Lytechinus pictus: one gene and its partners. The protein of the gene in region 3 purifies or fractionates together with the protein of the main gene of each other region. This does not show direct contact. Links are inferred from orthologs where the notes say so. Each region holds a gene or a part of one and is shown on either strand. Other genes may lie near its edges. The genes, in order: protein CLEC16A-like, calcyclin-binding protein-like and E3 ubiquitin-protein ligase NRDP1-like.

What was found.
Region 1: the proteins of E3 ubiquitin-protein ligase NRDP1-like (region 3) and protein CLEC16A-like purify together in Homo sapiens (affinity purification with mass spectrometry; 3 studies listed by BioGRID and IntAct, with this or other methods). This does not show direct contact. The link is inferred for Lytechinus pictus from reciprocal best matches to the Homo sapiens genes RNF41 and CLEC16A.
Region 2: the proteins of E3 ubiquitin-protein ligase NRDP1-like (region 3) and calcyclin-binding protein-like purify together in Homo sapiens (affinity purification with mass spectrometry; 4 studies listed by BioGRID and IntAct, with this or other methods). This does not show direct contact. The link is inferred for Lytechinus pictus from reciprocal best matches to the Homo sapiens genes RNF41 and CACYBP.

The regions. Positions count from the first base shown.
Region 1 is NC_087254.1:30,668,350-30,675,576, forward strand, and holds the start of protein CLEC16A-like, read left to right. Parts: upstream 1-4,057; 5' UTR 4,058-4,071; coding exon 4,072-4,181; intron 4,182-4,476; coding exon 4,477-4,610; intron 4,611-6,027; coding exon 6,028-6,095; intron 6,096-7,016; coding exon 7,017-7,097; intron 7,098-7,227. UniProt on the Homo sapiens protein: Regulator of mitophagy through the upstream regulation of the RNF41/NRDP1-PRKN pathway. Mitophagy is a selective form of autophagy necessary for mitochondrial quality control.
Region 2 is NC_087252.1:32,821,983-32,829,278, forward strand, and holds the start of calcyclin-binding protein-like, read right to left. Parts: upstream 3,281-7,296; 5' UTR 3,171-3,280; coding exon 3,159-3,170; intron 1-3,158. UniProt on the Homo sapiens protein: May be involved in calcium-dependent ubiquitination and subsequent proteasomal degradation of target proteins. Probably serves as a molecular bridge in ubiquitin E3 complexes. Participates in the ubiquitin-mediated degradation of beta-catenin (CTNNB1).
Region 3 is NC_087245.1:11,896,625-11,904,829, forward strand, and holds the start of E3 ubiquitin-protein ligase NRDP1-like, read left to right. Parts: upstream 1-5,117; 5' UTR 5,118-5,238; intron 5,239-8,205. UniProt on the Homo sapiens protein: Acts as E3 ubiquitin-protein ligase and regulates the degradation of target proteins. Polyubiquitinates MYD88. Negatively regulates MYD88-dependent production of pro-inflammatory cytokines.

The DNA of each region.
Region 1 (7,227 bases), on a different chromosome or scaffold from region 3:
TATTTAATTACGCTAGAGTTTATCGTCACACATACAAACGCAATTCGCAAGTGAGTTGAAGACAGCAAGAAAGGTATGCGGTACGGTAGCTCGACAGCTAGCTGAGCCGGAGCGGGCGGCCGGTCGGCACAATGCGATTCCGCAACCAACCGTATTTTTTGCAAGAGCCGCGTCACACGCGGATAAATATGTCATAATAACACGTCTGCTATGTTATCGACTGGTGAGAAGATCTCGATCGCATTTCATATTATTCGCCTTGAAATTATTCCTTTAGGGTCTATGGTATCATTCTGAGGGAATTTACATATTTGGAATAATAGTACGGCCATAAATATACTTTTAATCATTTCCTCTTTGCAAGTTCTCCGGCTCGCAGATACAACTTCAACTGCAGTTTATTCCATTATGACTAGTTTCGCCACGGACACAGTCCCGAACGTAAACAAGGCATTAAAATCGTCTAAAATCGCTACAAAGAAGAACAGTTTTAACAATGTAGGGATATATTATTGACTATATGTCTTTGAATAATTATTACTTCCTTTCAGTATCGTTCACATAAAATCAATAGCGATAAAATGAAATTTGACACAAAAGTAAATATGAAGGCGTACTTGCATAGTACACAAAACGGCACTGCCTTGTTTACTACAACGGGACCCCCGTGACGTCACAGTCAAAGAACACCCGTCTCGGTAGGCATTGCAGGAGCCAACTCAGGGAAAATGGGTAGGGATAAATCGTTCAAATTCACTATTTTGAAAAAAGAAAATGGGGGGTCGAATCACCTCTTAGTGTTTGGGGGGTTGTAAGGTTGCTATTAATGTAAATATCTCAATATTTGGAATCGTCTTCTTAATTCAACTTTAACCAAGGTTAAATTTTTGAAATTTCATCATAACTTAAAAAGTATATGGACCTAGTTATCAAGTATGAATGATTGTTTTGCACATGTCTTTGGTCTCATGGTCAAAGGTCATTTTGGGTCAATGGGCATAATATTTTATTATCATATTAGTGTTTTTTTCTGTGAATAATATTCATTAGCTATTTTCAAAAGAAGCACTGCTGCTATATCGCATTGCGTAATGCAGGCGAGACTGCCAGAGTCGTTCCACTTGTTATTGTCGGATGTTACTTTTCCTCTTCCTGATCGTGTGTTAAAGATTTTATATGGAGAAGGGAATACTGGAGTTTTGTGAAATAGAGAGGCATAACTGCATGTATAGTGTATATATTATGATTCAAGTTCTGGGGCAGATTTTCTACCCAACATTCTCTATACGTATGCTGGTAGTCTACACATTCATTGATTATGTGTGTACAACCCTAGCAGAGCACGGAGCAATGTAAACATGAATTTCTACCAGGCACCTTGCTGCATCACAATGGTAACCTGATAAGACATCGATCAAAGTATTGGGTTTTTTTCACATATCCTTCAAATTTGGTCAGATTTTACTGGATGAAGTAACATTTTCCATTTTACCTTGTTGTGATAAAATTTAGCTATTTTGACCTAATTATTTCATTGAAAATATTTTTTTTTAGAAAAAGAATAGAAGTAAGAAATTAGGGATATGAAAGAACATGAAAGTCAAACATCAAGCAAATTCATGCTCATTGGAGTCATACAGGTCACTTTTTTTGTGTTAGAAAATCACTTTACACCGTATGCTATCTTGAGGGGGAAGAATTCTGAATTATGTTTCAGATCAATGAATATGTAATGATCCAAGCTTTATGACATCCTACATTAATCCGATGCCTACTTGAATATTGAATCTCAAATCACTGTCCTCCGTGGAAGTGATATTTTTCATCAATAATGAATTGATTTGACCCAGGAATTATTGGCCAAAGTACAATGCAGGCAAATCGGAGGCCTAAAGAATCGGGTAGGGTGTGGGAATCTCAGTTTGTCTGAATATTGGTGTTTATTTTGTTTTCAGTTTTTGATAATTGAGTGTTTGCCTTGTAAAGGGAAGAAAACAGTTATTGCTGATTTATATAAGGACTTTTTCTGTTAATCACTTTCAAACACCTTGATCTGTTTTGAACATCTAGGCCTACATTACATACATGTATATACAGTACTTTGTGTGAAGTGTGATCAAGCATCGAAATTTATCAATTTGTGATTGAAAAATGAATTTAGCTGGTAAAATTGCCCCATGGTTTATAGTACATATTAGTTTTGATAAACATACATGAAACAGGCAGTACTGTCGAGAAAAAAAAGGAAACTATTTGTAAAGTTTAAATATCACAAATTTCCCCCATTGATTTGTGGTAGATGAACATGGTTGGAGCTTGTTTCAATTAAGTTTTAATAATCTTCATATTATGCATTCTACATGCATGTACGTGTAGAGTGCTTCTTTAAAATGATAAAGTCTTGTACCATTCAGCCTGAGCTGAGAGATATTGATTTTACATGGTACCCTCGGCATTGCCATGTGATTTGCAGGGCTTATAATGGATGCGAATAAAGGATTTCCTTTCTTGTACCTGAGGGTAGCTGCAGATGAATAGATTGAATACTGATATTATGCAGCGCATCGTGATTAGGAGTGAGAAAGATGATCAGATTTATTCTGCTTGGAGTGACAAGAGTTTGTTGAGAGATAGTGAAGGTAGATGGAGTGGTGATGATGGTTGTGACAAATGAGATGGTGGTGGTGATGGTGAAGATGAAGATAATGACATTAATGATATGAAGGTGATAATGATGATGTTGAAGTTGTTGATGATCATGATGATGGTGGTGGTGATGATGTTGATGATGATGATGTTGATGTTATTGATTGATTAAGAGGAGGATGGTGATGGTCTTGATGATAATGTCCACGGTGATCATGAATTTAGATTGATGGTGGTTATGATCATGGTGATGATGATGATTATGATCATGGTGGTAGTAGTGCATGGTGATGGTGGTGGTGATGATGATGATGATGGTGGTGGTGATGATGATGATGATAATGATGTTGATGATATGACAATCAGAACGTTGATGTGATTGATTTTGGAGGAGGATGGTGATGACCTTAATGATGATGTCCATGGTGATCATGAATCAAGATTGCTGTTAAAGATTTATTTTTTTTAGATTGGATTTGTATCCCCACCCTCTTCTTTCTGTCATACCTCCCCTTTTTATGATGAGACAGTTTTAATTAAGAAAATATTCTATCAATATGTAAATCCAATCGATCATGAAATCTAGGATATTGTCCCTTAAAAGACTCAATTTTGTGAAGTATCATTGATTATGCATGCAATGTTAATAGCTCCTTATGTGACACATGTATCATATTACTCCATTAAATCATTTACAAAATTACAGTATGTATATCTATCGCCATCCCTCTTCCACCAATCATGCATCATCACTCTCTTTCTCCCAATCTCTTGGAACGTTCTCCCTGAATATTTAATAATGCCCTCAGATTTTGTTATCACACTCTGTTTATTACAATCTATACCTTAGAGATTCCTTTATTTGGACAAGCTGCCAGTACCTCTTCTGCAGAAAGAGGGGACATGGCTTTAAAATAAACACATACAGGCCTGATTGCAGTGCTGTTCAATGCAATTTCTCATAAGCAGAAATCAGTATTGAAATATTGTATCAAATTATTTTTAATGTACAGTATCAAACAACATGTATGCATTCATGTATTTTTTATGTCTTGAAATTGGCCAAGCTGAGATTTATGACATCACAATGAAAGCATAGATCTATTAACATTCTCTTTGAATAAATTATAAAATTAAGTTTACATGTATGTTTGCCAAGTGCTGCGGAGGTAGGCCTGCTGTTGATTGAAATTCTAAAATGGCAAGATGAGAAATATACATGTGCATTTTTTAATGCAGGAAGGAATCTGTTTTGTTTCTTCTGGTCTTACTGAGCTTATGAAAAAGTGACATTGTAGATTATTGTTTTCTTGTGATAATGGTGATCATAGTGGGCATTATTTAAAAAATAGTACAAGGTAAAAAAATATATGATAGATGTACATTTTTCTTTGTTTGTTCTGTAGGCTGCTCCATGGAGTACTGATGCGGAATGCCACGGTAACAGAGCAAAACAGAAGCCTCCTGGTGGAGACATTGAGATCCATGTCAGAGATCCTCATCTGGGGAGATCAGAATGACAGCTCCGTCTTTGAGTAAGTTTGGTTCCAAATGGGAGCAAGAAAATTTGTAAGGAGAATGAAGAAAATAATGACTTTCGAAGTATTCAGCTGTCAAATTAATATTAGGAGAGGAATAGGTTTTTAGTCGACAAATCAGATGTGCAGAGTTGGAGTGTGCAGGGCTTGAGTAAAAAAAAAGTAACCTAATGCATTTCTTTCCCATTTTTTCTACATCTCTAATTTGTGAAGGTTATTATTAATTCCATTGTCATAAGTGTAGTGACATTATAATAGTGAAAATAACTTCTTCTTTATTCATTCCTTACAGTTTCTTCTTGGAGAAAAACATGTTGTTGTTTTTCTTGAAGATTTTACGACAGAAGACAGGAAGCTACATCTGTGTTCAGCTTCTCCAGACTCTTAACATCCTCTTTGAGAATATACGAAATGAAACATCCTTATGTGAGTTTTTAAATATTTTTATATAATATAGTGAATATAAGGTTGACAGCCTAATATAAGAGTAAACTATGTCTACCAGTACCAGCAGTTGCTCTGCTTCTCAGATATTCTAATACTACATTAACATGTGTTTGGTCTGCTATATCAATTTGGTCTAGATGTTGTTTGAAGGTTTGCATGGTGGCATGTACAATCGCTGATGTGGTTTACGGTACACCATGTGGAGTGTTATAGAAACAGTGGATAGAAGAAGAAAAGAAATGGATAGGCGAGAAAGTGGAAATTTGAGAGTAGAGTAACCTTTCTTGAATGTAGTCCTGAAAAGGACTGTAAACCAGAAGAGATTGATGAGTTGAAAACAGCTTGAGTAGTAGGATGGATGAGGAGATGCTGGCTTAAGTCGGCGAGTAGAGATGATGAGTAGAAGCAGTAGAGACTCGACATTTCGGGCAGGTTGACTGTCCGTCTTCAGGAGTGAGTGTTCACTCGGTGTGCGGCGGTACTTGTGGAGTACGTGCGGACGTGGGGGAAAGCGCTGGGCTTGCAACTTGCAATTAGACTGTTGTAGTGGTCTAGTTGCCACTTGGTTTTACACTACACAGTCTCATGTCCACTGAGTAGTAAAATCGTCTGCTTATTACTGTGATGATAATTTGGCTCATGATCATTTTCATCTAACCATATTAGACCAAAGTGGTATTAATACTAGATATCAGATGAAATGGGTAGACTATGTCCTAACTGGAAATTAGACTAAATGGCAATTAGACCAAATAGTTAGAAGATGAACTGGTTGTAGACAAACAAGGATTAGACCATGTAGGATGGATGCAAGGGAAAGTAGATAATGGGGGTGGCAGATCAGCAATTTACGATGGACACATATTTTCAGTACGTATACGAGATTTTAGTACACACTTTAGAATATTTTGAGTTTGAGGATATATTGTTGCATTTATTACAACTTATTGAATTGATTTAAAAAAAGCACAAACAAACATGTAACATAATGATGCAATCCAATCCAGTAGTCATTTGATGTAGGACCTTTTTTCCTTTTGGTTACAAAGCACTGCACACACTACTCCATGTTTGGGCTGCTAAAACAATAATTCAACACCTCAGAGGAATGAACAAAATCAGTGACATAAACACATTGTAAATGTGAAAATGGAGGTAGTACAATCTAGTTTTGATTTGCCATCTTGATCATGTGTACATTCATGTATTATGGAACATGAAAATATACAATTATAATTAATCTTAGTTATGAATGATATATAAAGGAGACAGGCAAATGATATGATGATTTTTAATTTGCCCTCTGTTCCTTTATCTTTTTACTTGTACATAAAATATAACTTAAAAAAAAAACAAGAAAATAATAATTGAGTTTTTTTTCTTGTGAATTTATCAGATTATCTTCTGTCCAATAACCATGTCAACTCAATCATCGTCCACAAGTTTGACTTCTCCGATGAGGAAGTAAGTTACCCTAATCATATGTTACTCCATCTCTACATGCAATCTACTTCATATTGAGGATAATGTTTCATTTTATATGCTATTCCCTTAATATCTGTAATGTGATGTATGGTGTCATTTCTGTTTTAAAACAAATATATTTGCAGACTCCAATACAAAGTGAGCAAACAAATGTTTGGCAAAAAATGTCAGTTGTATGCATAGTTTTTTTTTTCTTTTTTGAAATGAAATATTGAGTATTATGTATATTATATATTTTCTTTGCAATCTTGGTTTATATTTCCTGTCTACAATAGCCATGTGTAGATCATGAGATAATTTTGTAACTGGCATTGCAATGGTAAGAAAAGTGATCAACAACAAGCTTTGCAAATTAAGTATTGATTATGATAAGATATTAAAACTTGGTCAGGAAAAGCACTAAAAAAGTTAAGCATATTTAACACAATAGAAATGACAAAGCCTCTATCATTCATAATCAAATTCACAAAAATATGTCATGCCTTACTACTTTGGAGTCCCAATTGAACCACCTTGTGAGGCTTTACAACCCACAAGATATTTCATGAAGCTGTTTGTAAGTTTTGAATGACTATAATACATGTGACTGGTTGCCTGTTATTATGTGCTATTACGTATAAAGGTTCTCAAAGATTGTGATTCATTGCGAAGTTAAAATCCAATCTATTTCGATTCAAATTCATGTTGATAACAAGCATCTGAATGCCAAGTGCACTTTTTCATTTAATTATTGAAATTTACTACCACTATCTAAACAAGAAAATTTCAGCACGAGACCATGTCACAAGTCTGAAGTTGTGCGTAACTAACAGCTATGAAACACCCACCAAAGTTTGTATTTATCTTATTCCTGGATCATACAGCGCTCTGATTTTGATTTTCATTCTTTCTCTGCTTCAGGTGCTAGCATACTACATCTCCTTCTTGAAGACTCTATCCTTCAAGCTCAACAAACATACCATCCACTTCTTCTACAATGAGGTAAGTTTGTAGCCTTTGTGTCTTTCATACTGCTGTTAATATTGATCTTTCAGATGGCTGATGCAGGAAGGTGTTCAGTATAAATTTTCAGTCCCTTGTAGTAAAGTCCTTGCTTTTTTTTTTGTCTGCA
Region 2 (7,296 bases), on a different chromosome or scaffold from region 3:
ACTAGACCAATACACTTATAGAGATATGATGGCAATTCAACAAATACCCCCAACGTGGCCAAAGTTCTTTGACCTTACATGACCTTTGACCTTGATCATGTGACCTGTAACTCGCACAGGATGTTCAGTGATACTTGATTACTATTATGTCCAAGTTTCATGAATCAGATCCATAAACTTTCAAAGTTATGATGGTAATTCAACAGATACCCCCAATTCGGCCAAAGTTCATTGACCCTAAATGACCTTTGACCTTGGTCATGTGATGTGAAACTCATGCAGGATGTTTAGTGATACTTGATTAACCTTATGTATAAGTTTCATGAACTAGGTCCATATATTTTCTAAGTTATGATGACATTTCAAAAACTTAACCTTAGGTTAAGATTTTGATGTTGATTCCCCCAACATGGTCTAAGTTCATTGACCCTAAATGACCTTTGACCTTGGTCATGTGACATGAAACTCAGGCAGGATGTTCAGTAATACTTGATTAACCTTATGGCCAAGTTTCATGAACTAGGTCCATACACTTTCTAAGTTATGCTGTCATTTCAAAAACTTAACCTCAGGTTAAGATTTGGTGTTGACGCCGCCGCCGCCGCCGTCGGAAAAGCGGCGCCTATAGTCTCACTCTGCTATGCAGGTGAGACAAAAATTAAGTAGTGCAAAGGTGAATTCATTTAAAGTTTATTATGGAAATAGCAGAAAAAAATAATTTGAAAAATTGGTATGTGTTCGAGGAAAATCCATCCCCCACCCAAAAAAAAAAATTCAAGGTGAGATTTTAAAAAATATTATTTGTGACGGCGTAGGCCTATGCGAGCAGCTTTAGGATATAATTATGGTAAAAAAAAGTAAATGAAATGTCAAGAAATACATGATAATGACTTTTATTGTACATTCAGTATTTCAATAGATAACTTCATACCCCTACTCGTTCCAAAAAGAAAAAAAGTGGGTCATTACGGACCTTTAAAAATGGGAAATTTTGGCATTTTATATTACATAGAATATAGAGCAACTGTTTGTTTATGGCGTCACAAATCAAGCATTTGAAATTCTATTAACTCCAATTTAAAAAAAAAAATAACACCTTCACCGATATTTTGAAATTATTTTTCTTATTATCGCAATATTTTTATCAAGGTGAAATTCCCCTTTAATTTACAAAACAGTATCAGCATGATCAGTGTGAAGCGGTAAAGCATTCACCTGATAAGTATAGACCTATCTATAATTCATGCGGCACGCAGCGCGTGCGGCAATGTTTAATAACATATTGCTGTGAATAGAATGAATGTCATTAAAAACATAATCTCACAGATCAAATAATGCCAGCTCGACGCTCGAGCTGAAAAAATGTATTTTGTGCCCTGATAATTTTTAACCCTAACCTAACCCAATTTCTAAGTATTTTTTCATCATAAACGGGATAACTATAGACAATTGATTGAAAACTTTATATTCTTTTGCGGAAATGAATATGAAGGACAACTTTTCAGAACACAGCCCGGAACACAGTTTTGGAGCGTTAGAGTGCGATTTATACGGATTTATACCTACAACCGCTAAATCCTCATGAAGCAGTTGGAACATTTAGTCCTGATTCAATCAGCTTAATAATTTTTGCAACAGGCGCCAGTCCAACAAACAGACAAACATTTGCCCAAACGGACAACATCTTAACCTCTGCTCATTTCTTTTTGCACGGGCACATAAAATCTCGACCTACCCATCACTTTTCTCACTATTTTCTCCTCCCTTTTATTTTCCATTAATTTATCTTTCGTTCACTTTATTTCTGTCCTCTTTTCCCTTCTATTTTTTTCTTGTCTCATTGCTTTTCCTCATCCCCCAGCCCCCGACGCCCGTGCAGATTCGCAAACAATATCAAGAGTAGTGTTAGGCAAGGGTGGAAATCTCTCCCCAAAGGTAGGGGGACTAGGGGCTGGAAAATTTGACAAGCCAAAAAAAAAAAAAGGTTTATCACCCCAATTAAAAGAAGGTCATCTTGACCAAAAGAAATTTGACAAGCAAACAAGCCCCCCCCCAAAAAAAAAGGGCACCCCAAAAGTAAGATCGTCTCTTCCAAAATACATGTTTTATTTCGATTTTGAATTAAAAGACCAAAAATAGTAGAGGGGCATTTCATAATGTGCCCCCGACTATTTTGGGTGAGGGGGACATGGGAATTGCGCCCATGTGGGTGGGGGTGATGCGCCTCTCTTTCGGAATCATTATGGAAGAGTGTAAATACGAGTTCGCTGTGATTTCGATCTCATAGTCATAGTATTCATACCTATAAAAAAAAAATAGAACAGCTACGCCTTGAACACACAGGCAAAAATGCCTAGCGATTTCTCCGCGGCATTAACAACTCTCGTAAGGGGCGCTCCATTTATAAATAAAGTTGCATATGTAGCTGTCTACCGCGACAGGAGCAGTTGCAGAATTGAAGCCAGAAGCGTGGGAAATTGCCAGAAAATTCAAGAAAAGAACCGGTGGGTACCGATTTAACAGTACTAATTTATTAAGTAACATTTATTGAATCATAAGATTAGAATATTTATTTTTTAGTAAAACAAAGCTTAGTTCTAAGCTAGGGCGCCCCAAATGCGTGTGAGTGGAGTCCCAGTTTATTAACACGGGTAAGTATTGGGGTGTCGCCTAGAGTGGCCTAAGCCCTAACGTACGTTAGATTGGGTCTAACGTTAGCGGCCTATTTATCATGTCTATTTATTTGGCACACTGACTAGTTTCTAGTAAATTCATAATGATGTATGTAAGGAACGTTCCCAACTGAAACAAGATTTTGTGAAATAAAAATAAATTCAAGTTAAATCTTAACTCAAATCCGTTAGGTGCAAAGACCACCATCAATCATATACATCCTGATCCAAAAAATCACGGAACCGTGATAACTAGCCATTCACTTGCACGCGTAATTAATTACACACGATGAAGAATCGGTAAGCCGACATGGCTCGGTGGAGTGTGGGAATTCCCCATTATCCGATATATTGCGCAACGCGAATGTATCGTGCAATTGTAAATCAATGCCCGAAAAAGCACCGTCAAACGAATGGTCGCTCCTCTAATAAAATACCTTTACTTTAGTCTCAAGTAGCCAAATTATAAAAGTAATATATCTCTACCTCACTAGCCATCTTGACAAAAACTTCAGAAGATTCGTACGTTGTCGTAATGTTGCAAGTATAAACCCTCGCCTCGAGATATAGATATATATATATAGATGCACGTTTTAATTCTACGATCGCTGATTAGTCTTTCTTCAAAGGGCTAAGGGCGTCGAGATTCCTGACAAAAAGTTTATTGTAAGAATAGCGGAAAAATATTCGAAATATTGGTGCATGTGTATAGATTATAGATATATTAAATATTTTAAAAAGTTATCAATTTAATATGCGTATTTTTTTTTCATTTGTGACTTCACAGGTGATGATCGAGCCCCGGATCGAGCAGTCTCCCCCATTAGCTGCTGCAGAAGCACTAATAGGCCTACTATAGTTCATTACATGAGTATATATCTCTATGGTTCATTATAACTTCCTTCAATTCAAATATTCTTACATGGTAGCTGAAAAAATAATAACAAGTTAAAATAGATTGTCAACGTTATTTGAGTTGTAAATCACGTCATCTACATTACAGAGTAGAGAAATTAACAAAAGAAGGAAAGAGTGAATATATAAGAATTTGAATGAAAAAGACTGACAGTAATGAAAAGGAAAAGAGATAGGGATTTAAATTCAAAAATTGTTTTATTTTCCGCTTTCAATTTCAAATTCATATTTACAATAGTATTATGATGAAGAATATACAAACATTGATAACATTACAACATTACCAATGATAAGGGATTGAGGGCTAACTGGAAATTAAGGGAGAAAAGTTAAGTTTTGAATGAAATATATGTGAAAAGCAAGTTTGATCTTTTTTGAGTCCGGGTTATATGAGCAAGGAGAAATTTTCATGTAGTGCTCATTTCGAGACCATTTTTTTTTTTCATACGAGGTAAACAGGCTGCATAGTCCTGGAAATTATCTGTGTGGGCGTTTTTAACAAATATTTAATAAATTATATTATATTCTTAATTAAGTACCGCGGTATATTATTTTTAGTTCAAGAAAACAGGGAATATTGCCAAACGTACAGAAAGTGACACATTTGATTAAAGGACAAGTCCACCCCAACAAAAACTTGATTTGAATAAAAAGAGAAAAATTCAACAAGCATAACACTGAAAATTTCATCAAAATCGGATGTAAAATAAAAAAGTTATGGCATTTTAAAGTTTCGCTTATTTTCAACAAAATAGTTATATGAACGAGCCAGTTACATCCAAATGAGAGAGTTGATGACATCACTCACTCACTATTTCTTTTGTATTGTATTATATGAAATATGAAATATTTTTATTTTCTCGACATTGTCATGTGAAATGAAGTTTCATTCCTCCCTGAACTCGTGGGATTCCATTATTTTAACATTTTGTGCTTCAGGCAAGGAGGTCCTAATCGTCAAATTCGTAAAAATTGAAATATTGTATAATTCAAACAATAAAAAACAAAAGAAATAGTGAGTGAGTGACATCATCGACTCTCTCATTTGGGTGTAACTGGCTCGTTCATATAACTATTTTGTTGAAAATAAGCGAAACTTTGAAATGTCATAACTTTCTTATTTTACATTCGATTTTGATGAAATTTTCAGCATTGTGCTTGTCTGATTTTTCTCTATTAATTCAAATCAACATTGTTCTGAGGTGAACTTGACCTTTAAAGAATATAGAGATACGGAATATCAAATAGAGTTTAAAATTAGGGGAAGCTGATGGGGTGCACTTAAGAAAATGGGAACAAATCAATGCATATACCTTTCTTAATACTATGGATGTGTTGGTTAATTGCTTCATTTTTGTTTTAGTTTTGTTTATTTGTTCAAATACAGATAGTTGTACCAGGGCAGAATGTATCGTGTATGGATACATGTGTAGATGGATGTGTTATTTGAGTTGTAAATCACGTCATCTACATTACAGAGTAGAGAAATTAACAAAAGAAGGAAAGAGTGAATATATAAGAATTTGAATGAAAAAGACTGACAGTAATGAAAAGGAAAAGAGATAGGGATTTAAATTCAAAAATTGTTTTATTTTCCGCTTTCAATTTCAAATTCATATTTACAATAGTATTATGATGAAGAATATACAAACATTGATAACATTACAACATTACCAATGATAAGGGATTGAGGGCTAACTGGAAATTAAGGGAGAAAAGTTAAGTTTTGAATGAAATATATGTGAAAAGCAAGTTTGATCTTTTTTGAGTCCGGGTTATATGAGCAAGGAGAAATTTTCATGTAGTGCTCATTTCGAGACCATTTTTTTTTTTCATACGAGGTAAACAGGCTGCATAGTCCTGGAAATTATCTGTGTGGGCGTTTTTAACAAATATTTAATAAATTATATTATATTCTTAATTAAGTACCGCGGTATATTATTTTTAGTTCAAGAAAACAGGGAATATTGCCAAACGTACAGAAAGTGACACATTTGATTAAAGGACAAGTCCACCCCAACAAAAACTTGATTTGAATAAAAAGAGAAAAATTCAACAAGCATAACACTGAAAATTTCATCAAAATCGGATGTAAAATAAAAAAGTTATGGCATTTTAAAGTTTCGCTTATTTTCAACAAAATAGTTATATGAACGAGCCAGTTACATCCAAATGAGAGAGTTGATGACATCACTCACTCACTATTTCTTTTGTATTGTATTATATGAAATATGAAATATTTTTATTTTCTCGACATTGTCATGTGAAATGAAGTTTCATTCCTCCCTGAACTCGTGGGATTCCATTATTTTAACATTTTGTGCTTCAGGCAAGGAGGTCCTAATCGTCAAATTCGTAAAAATTGAAATATTGTATAATTCAAACAATAAAAAACAAAAGAAATAGTGAGTGAGTGACATCATCGACTCTCTCATTTGGGTGTAACTGGCTCGTTCATATAACTATTTTGTTGAAAATAAGCGAAACTTTGAAATGTCATAACTTTCTTATTTTACATTCGATTTTGATGAAATTTTCAGCATTGTGCTTGTCTGATTTTTCTCTATTAATTCAAATCAACATTGTTCTGAGGTGAACTTGACCTTTAAAGAATATAGAGATACGGAATATCAAATAGAGTTTAAAATTAGGGGAAGCTGATGGGGTGCACTTAAGAAAATGGGAACAAATCAATGCATATACCTTTCTTAATACTATGGATGTGTTGGTTAATTGCTTCATTTTTGTTTTAGTTTTGTTTATTTGTTCAAATACAGATAGTTGTACCAGGGCAGAATGTATCGTGTATGGATACATGTGTAGATGGATGTGTTATTTGAGTTGTAAATCACGTCATCTACATTACAGAGTAGAGAAATTAACAAAAGAAGGAAAGAGTGAATATATAAGAATTTGAATGAAAAAGACTGACAGTAATGAAAAGGAAAAGAGATAGGGATTTAAATTCAAAAATTGTTTTATTTTCCGCTTTCAATTTCAAATTCATATTTACAATAGTATTATGATGAAGAATATACAAACATTGATAACATTACAACATTACCAATGATAAGGGATTGAGGGCTAACTGGAAATTAAGGGAGAAAAGTTAAGTTTTGAATGAAATATATGTGAAAAGCAAGTTTGATCTTTTTTGAGTCCGGGTTATATGAGCAAGGAGAAATTTTCATGTAGTGCTCATTTCGAGACCATTTTTTTTTTCATACGAGGTAAACAGGCTGCATAGTCCTGGAAATTATCTGTGTGGGCGTTTTTAACAAATATTTAATAAATTATATTATATTCTTAATTAAGTACCGCGGTATATTATTTTTAGTTCAAGAAAACAGGGAATATTGCCAAACGTACAGAAAGTGACACATTTGATTAAAGGACAAGTCCACCCCAACAAAAACTTGATTTGAATAAAAAGAGAAAAATTCAACAAGCATAACACTGAAAATTTCATCAAAATCGGATGTAAAATAAAAAAGTTATGGCATTTTAAAGTTTCGCTTATTTTCAACAAAATAGTTATATGAACGAGCCAGTTACATCCAAATGAGAGAGTTGATGACATCACTCACTCACTATTTCTTTTGTATTGTATTATATGAAATATGAAATATTTTTATTTTCTCGACATTGTCATGTGAAATGAAGTTTCATTCCTCCCTGAACTCGTGGGATTCCATTATTTTAACATTTT
Region 3 (8,205 bases):
GTTGTGACACTTTAAAGTTTTGCTTATTTTTCACAAAACAGTGATATGCACAACTCAAATGAGAAAGTCGATGATGTCCCTCACTCACTATTTCTTTTGTTTATTGTTTGAATTATACAATATTTCATTTATTGTAGATTTGACAATAAGGACCAACTTGACTGAATCATATAGTATCAATCAATGCTCATTCCACATGTTCAGAGAGGAATTAATCATTGTATTTGTTTCACTTGACAATGAGGAGAAAAATAGAATATTCCCCATTTCATATAATGAAATACAAAAGAAATAGTGAGTGGATGACATCATCAGTCTCCTCATTTGCATACCCACCAGGATGTGCATATAACTGTTTTGTAAAATTAAGCAAAACTTTAAAATGTCGTAACTTTCTTATTTTACATCCGTTTTTGATGAAATTTTCAGTGTTATGCTTGTTCGATTTTTCTCTTTTTATTCAAATCAATATTTTATTGGGGTGGACTTGTCCTTTAAATAGACCTAATAATTCTTCTATAAATTGTTCTCCAAAACGACACCTCATAACGTAGCTCATCGTACATGTAGCTACATCGTAACAAAGTGAGTCAAGCCTATTGTAGGAATGGGGGGGGGGTCCGGTGTCCAGACATTTTAAAATTTTGAAACCTTCTTTTTTTGTCTTTGGATTGCACAAAAAATATGAATTCAATAGTGGTAACTATTTTAGTTTTGTTCTTTATGATATTGCTTAAGACTTTGCACAAAAACATTTTAATTTTTTTTTTCTCCTCGTACACAGACGGCTCTCTATCGTGCAGCCACCATTAGGGGTTAACAATGCAAAAATCCCCCCGACGGGGCTCATCAATTTTTGTCTTTATTTCATAAAAATATATAAAAAGAAATGTACCAAAATGAAGATTATTATATTATTCAGTTTTGGCCTGAAAGGCACCAAAATGGGGGAAAATAAACTTAAAAGGGGATAAAACAGTGATTTACTTTGGCTGTCGCGCAACTTCACTTCCCTGTTAGCTGTTTTATCCGAACTTAAATACATAAATAAACATATATGGCCATTGCCATTGTCCCTGAAGAAAGTGTACGTGTAGGCTGTACAGATCGAGCTAGAACTTCGGTCTCTGTGTGATGTGAGTGGAGCCAACGCAGAGTTCAGCGGAACAACCAACATAACAGAGACCCAAGCTTTTGGTCTACACGTCCCTGTAAGTTGTAACACCTATATATGTGAGTGCCCCCCCCCCCCCCCCCCCCCCCGCGGATCGGTCCAACATACCAGTAGTTGGTACAAGATCTCACGGATCCCGTCGGCCTAGAAAGATCTAGAAACATGCACATGCTCCCTAACGACAATCACACACATGACACACATTCAACTTCTATGTGGCAGCCCGATCCGAGTGCGCGACACAGGGACCAGACCGTAACCATAAAATGCGAACTAAAATAACAACACAGTCAATTGCTGTGAAAGTTTTACATAATATAAAAGCAAATTCTACTTCACGACTCTTACTCTTGATTAGTTTCCATTCCATTTTCTTGAGGCGTTTCGGATGTATCAGTGGTTTGAAAATCCGTCTCGTTTCCAGTCGGGTCACCCATTTTCGTCAGATATATCGGAATTGATTCTCGATAAGGTATCTACAATAGGACCAATGAATGAACAAAATTCTAACGAAGTTTCAAATCAGGGGGATTTCAAAGTACTTCCTTTTAGTTCCTCCAAATGCCTTGATCCAGGATTTGCAGGAATATTTGCACCTAAGACATTGGAGGAGAATATGGACCCATGCTTAAGGCCAGTATCTAAAAATTAGGGCCATGTTTAGGGATTTTCCAGCATAAAACCGTACCCCATGTTTAGGGACTAAAAAAAGGCGACCCATTCTCGGTACATCCCCGTATGCCTTATTTCCATCCCCCCCAGTACCCTCCCCCGGGGTCTTAACATTTGTAAGAAATATTCAACAAAATAATTTGGCAGAACTGTTTCTATACCTATTGAATAATATTTTTTCAGTCAAACTTCAACAGGAAATAACCGTCTGTTAATTCTGGTAGTATTTAAAAAAATAACAAATTCTGACATTTTCTATCACAGATCAAGTGTATAGCCAACAATGCATGCAGCGGGAGCCGGAGCGGAACAACCAATGATTGTACGGAGATTCGAGGTCAATCCTAGGGAAGCAAGGGGAGTATACCCCCCCCCCCCCCCCCGAGGCGGAAATCTCTCCCAAAAGGTAGGGGGACAAGGGGCTGGAAAATTTGACAAGCAAAAAAAAAAACGTTATCACCCCAAGTTTAAGGTAATTTCGACGAAAATAAATTTGACAAGCAAAAAAAAAGAAAAAAAAAAAAAGGATATCATCCCAAAAGTAAGGTCATCTCGTCCTAAAATACATGTTTTATTTTGATTTTGAATGATGTATTTCTTACCATCATAAAAGACCAAAAATAGTAGGGGGACATTTGATATTTTGAGTAGGGGGGACACGCCCCCCCCCCTGTCCCCCCCTGGGATTTCCGCCCATGCCCCCCCCCCCAAAAAAAAAAAAAAAAAAAAAAAAAACAAAAAACACCCACAAATTCACTTTTCAGTTGGGGGCGGCAGAACAAAGTTGAAAGGGGGAGGGGCCACCGACCGTGAGGCCGGGGGACAGGGCACTATCTTAAAACAAAGGGGGGGAAACGACTTATCTATCCCCCTCACATGACTCATGAAACTTAAGGCATTATTCTCACAATATTTTTCCTTCATAAAAATGAGAATATTGTTTTCGTAATTGTTTCTTACCAATGATGCTGTTATTGAACACATATACGTTTTCTCCTGCGCAGCGTTTTGTATTGAATAAGAACAGCCTCGTATTCCTCGAGATAATTATATGTGAAATTCATCACTTTAAAGTATCAGGAACACTTGTTCAAAAGGAAACTGGAAGCCATCAGAACATCATTGACTAAACATTTTGAACAAATGGCTCATAAATGGGGCATTTCAATATTATAAGGGCGTATTAGAATAGGGCATTTCATTAGAGATAAAAAGGGATAAATTTCATTATCAAAAAAAAAAGAAGAAGCAAAAGGGGCCAATCATTTTTTTTGTATTAGTATTTATAAAATCATTCAGTTCAAAATCATACAAGTAATACTAGTATATCAACAAAACACTGTTCACAAAGTCAAATAATTATTCATAATACAAACAATTGTACAAAAAAATACAAAATATAACATTCAAATCATCACAAAGTAAATTTGTAAAAAATAAAAAAAAATACAAATGTAACAAAAACCCGGAACAAAAAAGAATTTATAGCGACGCAATTGAACTGAATGAGTATTAGAAGTAAAACACCCTCCCATCCCACCCCCCCCCCCATATCCCATCCAAGCCCAGCCTAAGCGCGGCCTGTTTCCCTCCCCTAAACCCCAGCTAAAAGGCCTTCATTTCAATCTGCATTCTGTACCGCTGCAACCATGCATGATCTAACTTGCGCACCTGAATCTTCACTCTAAATGCAAAAGAGCCACTCCGGCCCCCAATCACACCCCTCCCAAAGAGAGATATAAAAGACTAATAGAAACTCCAGAAGCGGGATCCATATCCCAAGAGCGCGCCATAGCTCTGGAGCGAACAGCGTATATCTATTTTTTATATATATATTTTTTTTTTTACATTTTCACTCCAGAAGGAACCACAATGCACCCCAAAGACTCAAAGCACACCACAAAATGACTGCCCCGATCCACTCCAAGACTGAGTGCGACTACAGGGACCAGACCATCTCCCTCGCATTTAGAGTGTTTAAAGGGGAATCCAACCCAAATAAAAACTTGTTTTTATAAGAAAAAGACAAGTTGATAGGTGAAAGTTTGAACAATATTGGACAAACAACAAGAAAGTTATGAATTTTTAAAATTTGTAAATATTGGTAATCACTATATACTCATGGAGACTTCAAATTGGCCGCATATGGGATGTCATATATAGTGATGTAAGGCAAGGACTACTCTTCCATGTACTTCAATACATATTCTGGCTAAAATGTCATTTTTCCCAAAAGTTTTATTTCAAATTATATTTTTCTTTCATGAGGACATAAAACAATATACTACCTGGGTTATATTTAGATTACTGCCCCAGGGGAATGGGTACTTAGGAGAAAACCACAAATCCCTGATAATAAAGTACATGGCCTATGGGAAAGTTGTCCTTGCCCCTTGTCATAATTCACTTACTCAGTTGCCAATATGAAATCTATACATGCACATACTATTAGTGATCTCAATTTTAAAGCAGCTATAACTTTCTTATTGCTTGTCCGATTTCTTTCAAACTTTCACTATTCTGTTAAGTTTAGTTTTCTCCTTCCCAACACAACATTTTATGGCCAAGGCTGGATTCCCCTTTAATAACTGTATGCTTGAAACTTTCTTTGCCCCAGCATCCCTAAAAAATAAATTTGTCCCATTTTCTGAAATGGTTTGTTAATAGACCTCTCTGTTAAGCTAGTTTTCTTTCTTCTATGAAAGAAAGAAAGAAAGAAAGAACGGAAAGAAAGAAAGAAAGAAAGAAAGAAAGAAAGCGAAAGAAAGAAAAGGAGGAAAGAGGAGAAAAAAGGGAAAGAAAAAACATAGAGAGAAGAAAGGTACAAATGGAAATATCCCACATTGCCCAGCGCATGTTCGAGAGTCCATCACTAAAGCAGGGGCTAAAGCAGGGGCCGCGGAACGGTTTTCAAAGTGGGGGGGGGGGGGGCTGACCATTCAAAAATCACAATCGTATGGTAATTTCTTAATTTTTTTACACGGTTTTGGGAAAAAGTGAGGGGGGGGGGCTGAAGCCCCCCCCCCCCCCCGACCAAGAATGAAGGAGAAAATAAAGCAGGCGCGGATCTAGCTTTTTTCCAAGAGGGAATTTGACCGAGAAATTTGAAAAAAAGGGGGGTTCACTACAAAAGAAGGTCATTTTGGTAGCTAGAAATTTGAAAAGCACAAAAAAGGAGTTGGCTCCAAAGGGGGGGGGGGGGGGTAAACCCCCAACACACTGCCGTGTGTTGCTGTCCTCTACGTTCGTTGGGAGTACCCATATGCCATACGTGTATTTCCAGTTCAGTGATTTACATGTACGAAACCATTTCCTGAAAACACTGGCCAGTAAAAACATCTATTTTACTGATTCTCTACGAAATGACGTGGTCGAAGAAATGGATGTTGGGTGTAGGTAAATTTCATAATTTCAATTTTATTCTGGTGTTAGTAATGATATGTTTTCATCGATTATGAAATATATAAATAAATATAACGAAAATTATATTTTGGCGAATTTGGGTAAAGAAGTTAACTCGCAGAGTCGCAGGCTCGGCTGGGATCGTGCTATGAAACACACGGTAACTCCTGGAGCTCCAATGGGAAATAATAAGATGGCAAATATAGCGATCTTCAACGCTTATATATAAGCGTCGAAATTTGTAGCCATCTCCTTGTATTAGTCTATAATATACGACGTGTCAAATTGTAGCGAACTAGTTCGCCATTTCCAGATCTCCTCTATATATATATATACGAGGGGGAATTGTAGCGAACTAGTTCGCTATTTTCCAGATCTCCTCTATATACAAACGACGGGAAATTGTAGCGAACTAGTTCGCTATTTTTCGGATCTCCTCGATATATACACGAGGGGAATTGTAGCGAACTAGTTCGCTATTTTCCAGATCTCCTCTATATACAAACGACGGGAAATTGTAGCGAACTAGTTCGCTATTTTTCGGATCTCCTCGATATATACACAAGGGGAATTGTAGCGAACTAGTTCGCTATTTTCCAGATCTCCTCTATATACATACTACGGGATTTGTAGCGAACTATATACGAGGGGGCATTGTAGCGAACTACTTCGCTATTTTTTTGATCTCCTCTATATATACACCAGGGGGGAATTGTAGCAAACTAGTTCGCTATTTTTCGGATCTCCTCTACATGTATACGACAGGAAATTGTTGCAAACTAGTTCGCCATTTCTCATCTCCTCTCTAAAATATAAACATGGCAAACTGTAGCGAACTAGTTGGCAATTTTTCTGATCTCTTCATATACACGAGGGGGAAATTGTAGCGAACTAGTTGTCATTTTTTCCAAAGCTTACATTATTGTGAAGGCTTCAAAGTGAAAATCTGCAGGTTTTGGCTGTATATATTGATGCCATATTGTCAAATTGTAGCAGACTAGTTCGCTATTTTCCAGATCTCCTCTATATATATATACGAGGGGGAATTGTAGCGAACCAGTTCGCTATTTTCCAGATCTCCTCTATATCCATACGACGGGATTTGTAGCTAACTAGTTCGCTACTTTTCGGATCTCCTCTATAAAATTATATACACGAGGGGGAATTGTAGCGAACTAGTTCGCTACAATTCCGTCTCTTGTATATATAAAGATTAGAAAAATAGCGAACTAGTTCACTAATTCCTCCTCGTGTATAAAATTTTATAGAGGAGATCCGAAAAATAGCAAACTAGTTCGCTACAATTTTCCGTCGTATATATAAAGAGGAGATCCAAAAAATAGCGAACTAGTTCGCTACAAAAGAAGAGATCCGAAAAATAGCGAACTAGTTCGCTATAATTTCCCGTCGTATATATCGTCGGCGTTCATCCGAACCGTCGTATCAGTCAATTTTGGTCAAAAAATCGATTTTGAGATATTTGCAGAAAATTAATGTACAAGTCCTATTCTATTCATAAATTAATTTCTAGGCAGCAATTTATTTTAGTTTGTGAGATATGATGGAATTTTCACGGCGATGACATACAATTTTTTAATAAAATGCGCAAATCCCATTGGAAACGTCTACTGTAACAGAGCGATACGACGTTTTGACTGACCGCGATTTCAGTGCGCGCGGTCAACCAAGCTGTCGTATCGGCCATCTGCGCTGCATTGACTTTGCACGTGAAAAGCGATACGACGTTTTGACTGACCGCGCGCATTCAAATCGCGGTCAGGGTTGTTGTTTTCCCTATGGCGTTTTCGTACAGGGGAAATCTAAACCACTCAAACCGAAATTACAAGCACGGAGTTCTTTTGAGATATTTTCTATAATCCTTGGTTTTGTGCAAAGATAAGGATACCATTGTCAAGCAATTATCTTGGTCTTTCCAACCATGTATTTTTCTAGCAATGAATATGTTGTAAGCCCGGAGAACTAAGTGTGAAAATCATAGTAACTTTGAAGTCGATTTTCTCTGAAATGGGTTTTCAACCGTCGTATGTGGATACGACGGTTCGGATGACCGCCGACGAATATATAAAGAGGAGATCCAAAAAATAGCGAACTAGTTCGCTACAAAAGAAGAGATCCGAAAAATAGCGAACTAGTTCGCTATAATTTCCCGTCGTATATATATAAAGAGGAGATCTGGAAAATAGCGAACTAGTTCGCTATGATTTCCCGTCGTATATATAGGGAGAGGAAATCCGAAAAATAGCGAACAAATCCCGTAGTATGTATCTAGAGGAGATCTGGAAAATAGCGAACTAGTTCGCTACAATTCCCCCTCGTGTATATATCGAGGAGATCCGAAAAATAGCGAACTAGTTCGCTACAATTTTCTGTCGTATATAGAGGAGATCCGAAAAATAGCGAACTAGTTCGCTACAAAAGAAGAGATCCGAAAAATAGCGAACTAGTTCGCTACAATTTCCCGTCGTATATATATATAGAGGAGATCTGGAAAATAGCGAACTAGTTCGCTACAATTTCCCGTCGTATATATATATAGAGGAAATCCGAAAAATAGCGAACTAGTTCGCTACAAATCCCGTAGTATGTATCTAGAGGAGATCTGGAAAATAGCGAACTAGTTCGCTACAATTCCCCCTCGTGTATATATCGAGGAGATCCGAAAAATAGCGAACTAGTTCGCTACAATTTTCTGTCGTATATAGAGGAGATCCGAAAAATAGCGAACTAGTTCGCTACAAAAGAAGAGATCCGAAAAATAGCGAACTAGTTCGCTACAATTTCCCGTCGTATATATATATAGAGGAGATCTGGAAAATAGCGAACTAGTTCGCTACAATTTCCCGTCGTATATATATATAGAGGAAATCCGAAAAATAGCGAACTAGTTCGCTACAAATCCCGTAGTATGTATCTAGAGGAGATCTGGAAAATAGCGA